Schizosaccharomyces pombe: one gene and its partner. The gene in region 2 interacts genetically with the main gene of each other region. Each region holds a gene or a part of one and is shown on either strand. Other genes may lie near its edges.

What was found.
Region 1: mutations in SPOM_SPAC23H3.11C (region 2) and mde7 together harm fitness less than expected from each alone (positive genetic interaction), as found in Schizosaccharomyces pombe (one large-scale study listed by BioGRID).

What each region holds. Positions count from the first base shown.
Region 1 is NC_003421.2:153,611-158,718, reverse strand, and holds mde7 (RNA-binding protein Mde7), read right to left. Parts: upstream 2,814-5,108; coding exon 528-2,813; downstream 1-527. Other genes in the region: SPOM_SPCC320.06 (uncharacterized protein), read left to right, coding at 1-142.
Region 2 is NC_003424.3:2,512,222-2,516,771, reverse strand, and holds SPOM_SPAC23H3.11C (glucosidase), read left to right. Parts: upstream 1-1,922; coding exon 1,923-3,812; 3' UTR 3,813-3,867; downstream 3,868-4,550. Other genes in the region: SPOM_SPAC23H3.12C (hydrogen/potassium transport protein), read left to right, coding at 899-1,579; SWI/SNF and RSC complex subunit Ssr2, read right to left, coding at 4,010-4,550.

The DNA of each region.
Region 1 (5,108 bases), on a different chromosome or scaffold from region 2:
TTATGGTATTTACACTACTTCTACACAAATCTTATCAAACAAAATAATGACCCTCGGTGTTTCTAAAAAACGGAAGCATTTGTCATTCAAAACTCTTTCCGAACTTTTAAACCATGACGAACTAACAAACATAAATCGTTAATTCGACTTTAAATGGAAGACGTCGTTAAATTTTATTGCGTTATAAATTTTATTCTACATTTTGCAACCAAAGTGTGAGATCAAGTTTTTTCCAATCTAGCTTAGTGAAGGCTGACAGCATGTTACTTTGAATTTCAATAATTGCTTACCAAATTCAACCAAATTTTTTATTAATTATGCTAGTTATTATTATTTTTTTATTTTTTTTCTCAATAATTGTGGAATTTTTCACAAAGGATAAAATAATTCTGTCATGCAACTGATTCTGAATGTTAAAACTAAAAATCAAACGTTTTGACTTTGTATAGAAATAGAGTCATTTTCTTTACATAGCCTTAGCGTGCTCTTTTCAATAGTGTTGACTATTGAAGAAAAACTCACCGTTTCTATTTGCTAGGAAACTCAAAAATATCAAACAAATCGTTCACTTCCGACGAGTGAGTTTGGGTCCTGTTTAGTGTGGTGACACTGTTGGTTCCATTTGGTTTTGGAGTCATATTTTGAAAATGGTATTTTCGTTCAACAGCAGCGGATGCCTTTGCTGAGTAGCAGTCCGTGCTTTTCTTCGGAGGGCCGTGTTGTTGAAAAAGGGATGCTGTGGTTGAAAGGTTTTCGGTGGAGCGGACACCAAGTGGATTTTTGGAATAGCTTAAGCGAATGCCACCTTTAATTTTATCGTCTAATGCAGCACCTTGCATTTTTTCCATTGCTTTCGCAGCATGGCAAACTTCCTCAAATTCTACAAAACACATAGGACTGTTTCCCTTAATTTTGAAACATAGTCTCCGATACCCCTTCTCTTTTGAAAAAGCCAACCTAAGCTTTTTCTCTTGGTCTGGGTTGGACAAATTTCCCACATAAATTGTGTTACAGGGTGAGTTATGATCAGTTTGCACATTGGACTCTACTTGTTCCAATAGCACTTTATTATCAAATTCTTCTTCCTGAAGGCATTTTAATTCACAAACACGGACATATTCGGCGCTCCTTAAAGGGCGTTGTTTTAATGACGGGCGTGAACGGACTACTTTAAGGTCTGGCATAGGCTTCCACTTGGGCGGCGGCCTAAGTTCACTTTCATATGGGGCAACACCATTCAGTGGAATTGTACGTGGTCTTATAGCAGGTAGCTCTTTAACAGGGCTCGTACGTTCTAATCGCAATGCCTCTTCAAAAGGATTTGATTTATCGATAGCTTGTTTTGAAATAAAAGAGTTGTCTTTATGATAACTTGGTCTTGAAGGTAAAGAAAACTTTGCTTTGGGCGAAATTGCATTTGGATGATTAGGTTGGTAATCGAACGACGTTTGTGCAAAGTTATTCGGCTGATTTGATAAAGAATTAGATTCACCAATATTAGCAATATTGTTTGGCAACTGTGAATATTTGGCTGTGGGGTTTGTTAATTCATTGCTTGTAAATTGAAGCCCTTTGCTATTTTTCTGCGTTTGGAAAGAATATACGGCTTGCTCTTTAGAAGATGGCTGTAATAGCCTATTATTCCAGTTTGAAGGTGAAGGGTTTCCCATTGATGCTCGTGATTGATTAAGATATTCAGCTTTAGGAGCCTTTATTGGGTTGAACGATTTAAAAGCTTCCAATACCGCTGGATACGAGGTGGACATTCGTGATTCTGAAGTAACGTCCTTATTGATGACAGAATCAAAATTTGCTGGTGAAAACCGAGGAAACCCAGGCGTTGTTGAGTCATAGTTATTTGACAGGCGTTGGGAATATAAACTTGGGGTAGTCAATGGTGGAATGCCCTTGTGATATTCATTTTCTTGTTGCCTTACAACATCCCTTTGAATAATGGTGAAATTGTTTGTAGAAGACGCGTTTAACATGTTTTTTGCCTTTAATGCAGCTATTGCGTTCCGAAAGTATACAATAGCTTTTCGGTGCCCATTTTCACTTTCGATTTTTGAAAAATCATATCCTTCGCAGAATGTGAAAATTCCACTCAGCTCTCTATCATCAAAATCGTCCGGCAAGCCACCAACAATTTGAATGATAGAAGATTCTAAATCATCATTTGAAGCTTCACTAAGGGAGTTAGATCCAGAACTACTTTTAGAATGTACTGATTTGTCGGTATCATCAAAGTAATGTTCCGGTACCAAGCTAGGTGTTCTAGCCCGAAGATTTGGATTCAATAGAACACTTTGATCCAACGAAGGGATGGCATTTAGCGTTGCAATTGAAGATCGACTATCTGAAAGAAATTGATTTTGGGGTGGAAAATTTGGAGAGCTGCCTGTGCCTTCGAAACTGTTAGAATTGTATGCGGAATTCCAGCAATTATTGCTAATTGAATTATTTGCAAAATTACCGGAGTTTGACTCCGCAGTGCCCTGTAAGTAAGAGTTGTTCCTTGAAGGCACGGGCAATTTACCAGGACTTGATCCTACTGGGTTAAGCAGAAAAGGAGTTGTCGACCTTGCAGGTTGCTGTGTTTGTGTATATAATAAATTAAGCGGATTTGTCGTTGAATTCCTGGACAGTGGGGGTTTATTAAATGCTCCTGAACCATGAAGCAAAGAGTTGGTCGATTGTTGTTCTGAAAGAGAACTATGGTTAGGTTGAGACAATCCGAAGGCGGCAAGTTTATTTGCCAGGTCATCAGATTTCCCTGCTAGAGGTTGTCCGTTTAAAGCATAAAGTTGACTCATTATTCAATTAGGGATAATTAATAAATGAACGTGGCGGTACTAGAAACAGAAAATGCAAAATAGAACCAAAAGTATTAAAGAAAACACCTGTTTTACAAATTGATTGGGAACACCTCGATTTGAATCGTCGCAGGCAGCAGTTTTATAAATAGATCCTCCAAGAAGTTAAGGAATCAACAGAATATTAAACAGTAAATTCTTTCGTTTGAAAGTTATTTATTGTTTGTAGATGAAAAATTAAAAAAAGTGGTTTTTTTTGATTGGATACTATAAAATATGTTTTTTTTTGTTTGTTTACCTCGATAAAAAAACAGAGAAAATATAACGTTCAAGGTAACAAGACTGAGGTATGCAGAAGTCAAAAAAGAGATAGACAAACAATGCTTGTTTAAAATGCTCAAATCGGTCAATAGGCCTAGTGAGAGAACGGAATTTGCTTATGTCGTCGATGTGAGGAGTCAACGAGAATTTGAATTTCAAAAAAAAAAAGGAATTGAAAATGAAGGCTGGATTAATAAAAGATTATCGAGATTGTCAAAAAAGTAATGCAAAAAAGAAAAAGGCAGTCAATGTGTGAACGAGGTAAAAAATACTTAACTCGTTACTTGAATAATCTGATGAAAACAAAAATGTCGGAATGCTTTAATCGGCAATCGGTATTTAATCAAATGTTAGGGAACTTGAGACTATGCTTTATTTAAAAAAATAAAATGGTCTGTTGCGGGTTCACAGAAGGATGTATACAGGTTAACTTTGCAAGGAAGGTACGGTGATTTAAAAAGTTACTCTTTTAAGCAATGAAAGAGCGATGTTATAACCAATTAACAAGAAGGTTTACTAAAAAACCTGAACTGAATGACTAGAAATGGATGGTGGTAGCAAGGAAAGAGAAAGAATAGAATGGTTCTAAAAGTGGAATTTAATGTCAAAAATTCCTCGTATATGGATTGGAAGGGAAAAGAGTCAATTATTTCCAGAAAATATCTTCTGTATTGCTTCGCAGTATAAGATACACGAAATTAGGCTTTTTAGGACAAAGGATTAGACACGAGAAGATTTCTGAATCAAAAGTTAATTTCAAGCGTATGCGATGCACTTTATATGTATACGTTTTTGGAAAGCGGGGATGGAGGCTATTCTCTTACTTTAAATATACTCGATGATTACAGATTATTGAGTAAAAGTAGTCCTATGGAGGTGTCGAAGCAATTGAGTCATATTTTAATCAACACTCTAGACGCAGCACTGCGATCAAGTGGTGTTTATAATACTATTATTATTCTCCTTACGAATTTGCTTTCAAAAATAGAAAGATAAAAATAATTTACTGTCAACTATGAAGGTAAACTTTACGCCTTAAAAGTAGTTGCTGTAACATGATTTATGTTTGCATCAACCTTAAAACCGCCTATTTGCTGTCTATCTTAAAAGAAGCATATTCTTGTCAAAAAATATGGACAAGCAGTTCTTTTAATAAGGAATGAACTGTTTAAATTCACTTCGCTTTGCATGCTTTGACTTTTGGTTCCGTTTATTGTAATGTTTACATATTCAAGTACGAACAGATGATCAGAACTTGTGACTAAATTGCTCTTGAATAGATCAATATTAGAGAAGAAAAGTCTCGTTTCTCCTCATTTGCCTCGTATGGAAATGAACTGGAAGGCTTGGCAATTTCTAATATCCCAATGGATCATCTGCATGCTTTTGACTGCTATGATAGATGAGTGATCTCAGGAATGGTGGTGACAATTTTATTACACAGAATGACATAACGCAATTTCGTTAAAACCCCTAGCAAGCTTAATGAGTTCGGAACGACGTAAAGTCTACATAAGAGCTTGATCGTTAAATTACAGTATGTTAGCTTGCAGTTACGCAGTTTGTTACAGATTTAAGGATGCGTTAATTTTGATGGCTTGTAAATACTTGAGCAATAAGTGTTATTGATATGTCTATAATAAATTGATATTATAAGCTGTATATGAGTTGCTTAAAAGACAAACTAAAGAGCCTAGATTTAACCAACTGAATCGGAGCTAATTTCTAAAAAGTTAAACAATCTTGGAGAAGCTTATGCTGTGGAAGGGAGGTACCAAAATCATAGTTCAGTCATACGCTTGATTATGTTCACGTACTGTATGTCTGATAACAAGTGGCTTAGTTATTTTCTATCTTTTCTAGAGAAACATTCACTTATCATATTGACATTTGCTTCTTTATTCTTGAATATTCGTAGCAGCAAACAGGAGGACCGGACATAATAAACTGTCTTAACATTTACCAAATCGTTAA
Region 2 (4,550 bases):
CTAGAGAGTTCTGAAGCCTCCTTGTAAGAATCGCTTCTTTTACATTCGTTTATTTTTTTTTTTTAATATTGTCCGGAGTTTATTACACATGTTCTTTAAAAATATTTTTCCAATATATACATTGGCTGCTGGAATCTGAAATCACCGATTTGTCTGTAAGGAAAAGGATCGATCTCCTTTTCAGTTGTCTCAGAACGTTCACAGATTGCTATTAAATAATCTCTTTAAGATGACCAAGTTATACAGTTCTAGTTGATATAAATATTTTGTCATTTTTGCGAATATCAATTTGCATTTAATTTTTTACTTTAAACGATGCTGCTGGCGAATGCTTTTAAAGTTATTGAATACTTTCTGTTGAACATAGTCTTAAGATTGAGAAAGTAGATCTCCAGTTTTGATTCGAACATCTATCTCTGCTTTCAGAACTATTGCTATCACTTAATGCTGCTATTTATGAGGGTCGTAGAAAATCCGTTTGAGTACTAAGAGACTTTGAGTGGATACATGATTTAATCGCTTTTGTTTTAGTATTTAGTTTTTAATTGTTAGACTACTTGTATAGACTATTTCACTGAATCATCAAAATTGTTGTCTCTCTTTGTTGGCACCAGAGACTGATACTTTTTACCGACTTTCAGTATCTTTTCTTTAATATATTAATTTACTAATCAAAAAAGCTATTGAACACGTGTATTTCTGCCATGTATAATAAAAAGCCGCACTGTTCTGTATACGTATCAATTTGATTAAATTAGATAGTAATACTACTACATAGATATTCGTTACCCACTTTTAGCTTCTACTTTAGTATATCCACCCATCTTTGTGTTACTGCAGGTTTATTTATTTCAATATTTATTTTGTAAAAACAATTAAGTACATTCGTTAACTAATTATGAGAATTATTGCACTTCCTTTGCCAAATCAAAGGGTATTCTTACATTGTTATCCTTCTGAATACCTTGCCAAAAAAGTTACTATTCACGACAAAATTATAAACAGAATTTACAAGTATTGGGACTCCTGGAGTGCTTCAAAAAGCTATACCAAACAAAAGGTTGTGTCTTTGGGAAACCGAATTTTGCATGCAACTCCTTATGAAGAAAATTTTTTAAGGGCGATTGCTCCTGTTAAGAAGCTAAATGATACAGAATTACACCAAACTTTGTATATTGAACATCCTCCAAATTTGGAATCAAGTACTATTTTAGCTGAGTTGAATCGGTCCAAACAATTACAAAAGACCCATACAAATTACCTTATTGGTAATATTATTGGATTACCATTGACTATACCTTTCATTCTCATACCTCTAATACCAAATATTCCGGGTTTTTATCTTTGTTATAGAGCATACTGCAATTTTCGTGCTATTCAAGGGTCTATTCAATTAGCTCGGGTAATGAGCATAGAAAACATTCAAATGCAGGAAAGTGAAAAACTAGAAAAAGCATTGAAGTTGTTTACAAATGGAGATGCTACACCATTAAACGCTCTCATAGGCCACCCGGATTTCGTGGACCGCTACAAACGTGCCGTTGCTCAGGAGCAACGGAAATCAAAAATAATCAAATAAGAATATTTTTTTCCTTCTATTTTATGAAGTCCTTTGCATATAAAATCAATGACCTAAGTAGTGTGCAATCGTCGTTCCGGTCATAGTTATGCCATAACATTATTGCGCAGCTATGAGTAAAAAGAAAGTCCCAAACTGATATGAGGAGTGGAATTTTATATCAAGAAAACATCTTCCTTTTTTATTTTAAATATTAAAACTCCCATTCTTTTGTTCTTTCTCTTATTAGTGGTTGGCAATCGTTCATTCTTTTCTGGGGTTCTTTCTTTCTTTTAATCTTCTTTCCATCTTTCCTTTAAAAAATAATCTTCTCATATTTATATCTTGATTAATATATATTCTCATGGAAAAAGGTCATAGCGACTTACCTAGGCAGCCAGAGAGAGTTGCTCAAAACCCATTTTTGACATTTGATCAAGATAGCTTTCCTTCTAGCTATGGATCTTCTTTAAATGTTTCAGAGCAAACTTCTGGATCTTCAAGCACTTCTCCATTGCCTCAGATTAGTTGTTTACTTCGTAAGGACGATGTACCTTTAGCAAACAAAGAACTTTCTCGATCTCTCATTCATGTTCAAGAACTGAGTCGCTATCCTCCTTTTTATAACCAAGATCATCAACATTTAGGAGTACCGAGAAGCAGAGTGGGTTCTGATGTTTGGAAAATGAGGGAGAAATCTTTTTTAAGCCCATCTCAATTTAGTAGTATTGATTTAAGTTGGGTTTATCGATCTAAGGAAGAGGATGATGACTTTCATGATCCAAAATCATCAGTTGTTAGTTTAATGGGGGAAGAAGATTATTTGGGTTGGTCACGTTTTTGCGATCTTTTCTTTCTGTTCGTCCTTTCCCTTGGGATAGGATTATTATTCATAGTTTTTCCTGCTTTGACATTCACTGGAAATATTACTCCGAGTAAAGAAAAGTTTGATGCGATAATGGCTAATCAAATAACTGACCATTTGTTTGCGCACATGCGTGTTCCGCGCACGAACCTGATTGACAAGGATACGCCCTCTACAGCGTATCACAGAACCGGGTACAACGGTCGTAAATACAATTTGGTTTTTTCTGACGAATTTAACAAAGAAGGAAGATCTTTTTATTCCGGAAATGATCAATTTTGGGAAGCGGTTAATATTCACTATGCTGCGACGAATGATTTAGACTGGTATGATCCTGATGCAATTACTACCGTTAATGGAACATTAGCCATTCAACTCGATGCATTCTGGAACCGAGATTTGAATTTTCGTTCTGGAATGTTGCAATCTTGGAACAAGCTCTGCCTAAAAGGTGGTATAATTGAAGTATCGGCCTCTTTGGCAGGTTCAGGTGAACACGCAGGATTATGGCCAGGTATCTGGACACTTGGAAACCTTGCCCGCCCTGGCTATATGGCTACAACTGATGGAGTATGGCCATATGCATACTCTCAGTGTGATGTAGGAATTACGCCCAACCAGTCTTCTTACGATGGCATTTCTTATTTACCAGGACAAAAATTGCCAAACTGTGTATGTCTAAATGAGGATCATCCTAGTCCAGGTGTTGGACGTGGCGCTCCTGAAATTGACATTCTTGAAGGTTCAACAGAGAAGCTACATCCCGACGATGAACTAGACATTGGTGTAGTTTCTCAATCTGGGCAGTTCGCACCATTCGATTTTTTCTGGTTACCAAATTATGATTATTTAGCAGTTTATAATGACAGCATTACTCACATGAACTCTTATGTGGGAGGGCCTTTTCAACAGGCTCTTTCAGGAATTACTACTTTAAACAATACATGGTATGGAGGAAATGCATTCCAAATTTATGGTTTTGACTACAAGCCTGGTGAAGGTACTAATGGGTATGTATCTTGGTTTGTCGGTCCAAACTATACTTGGTCGATGCTTGGCAGCGCCGTCGGTCAAAATGGAAATGTCGGACCTCGTCAAATTAGTGAGGAGCCAATGTCTATTATTTTCAACCTTGGAATATCAAACAATTGGGCTTATTATTACTTCCGGGATCTTTCATTTCCTGCAGTGATGTACATAGATTACATTCGTATCTATCAAGACCCTGATGACACCAACTCACATATCGGATGTGATCCCCCCGGCTATCCTACTACCAAGTATATTGAAGAACATCCGTTAGCATACAAAAATCCAAATGCTACAACTTGGGAAATGGCTGGTTATACATGGCCTAAGAATTCTTTAATGCATAAATGTAACACTTAATTGCCATTATGATCATATTTTATATGAATTATCTATATATTTAAGATGCATTTCAGTTATATAACAATTAGAATTTAATGTTCATTTTTTTTTCTTTTTCAAAAAAAAAATTTAGATTACATATATATATGTCTATAAAAACTAGATAGCCAAAAGAACTTCATGCAGAATACAAATTTGAATTTGGTGAACCTAACTTATAAAGCAATTGTACGAAATTTATCGGGATATTGCTTACTTAAAGGAGAAACGGTTGTTGCCGTAGGCATCTCAAATGTCAATAATGCTTCTGCATGTTCTGTACTCATTAAATCGTCAATTATTTTCAAACCATCTTCACCGCCCAAATTAACAGCTTCTTCCAATTTCTTGTTAAACGCAAGAAGCATTTTTTTAGTAGACAAACGACTTAGTAGTAAGTTTTTTCCACGAAGATCGAGTTCAGATAATTCTAAAGAACACATCTTTTCGAGTTGTTCAAGCACCTTCATTTTAAGCTGTAACTTCTCAAGCTGAGCCTGGATTAACGAAAAAACCAAGCGTCGAAGCTGGCGATTTTCAAACGCTGCAATCAATTTTGCTTTTTGAGCAGCAGATTTTAAAGCATAATAAGCAACCCTCTCTAGTGGGTTTTTAAACTCGGAATTCCCAAAGGAGGTTTCTCCTTGTTTCACTGATTCATTTTGCTTGCGCTCTTTCATGCCTTGTTGAACAATGGAAGCCAAATATGTTAAAGTA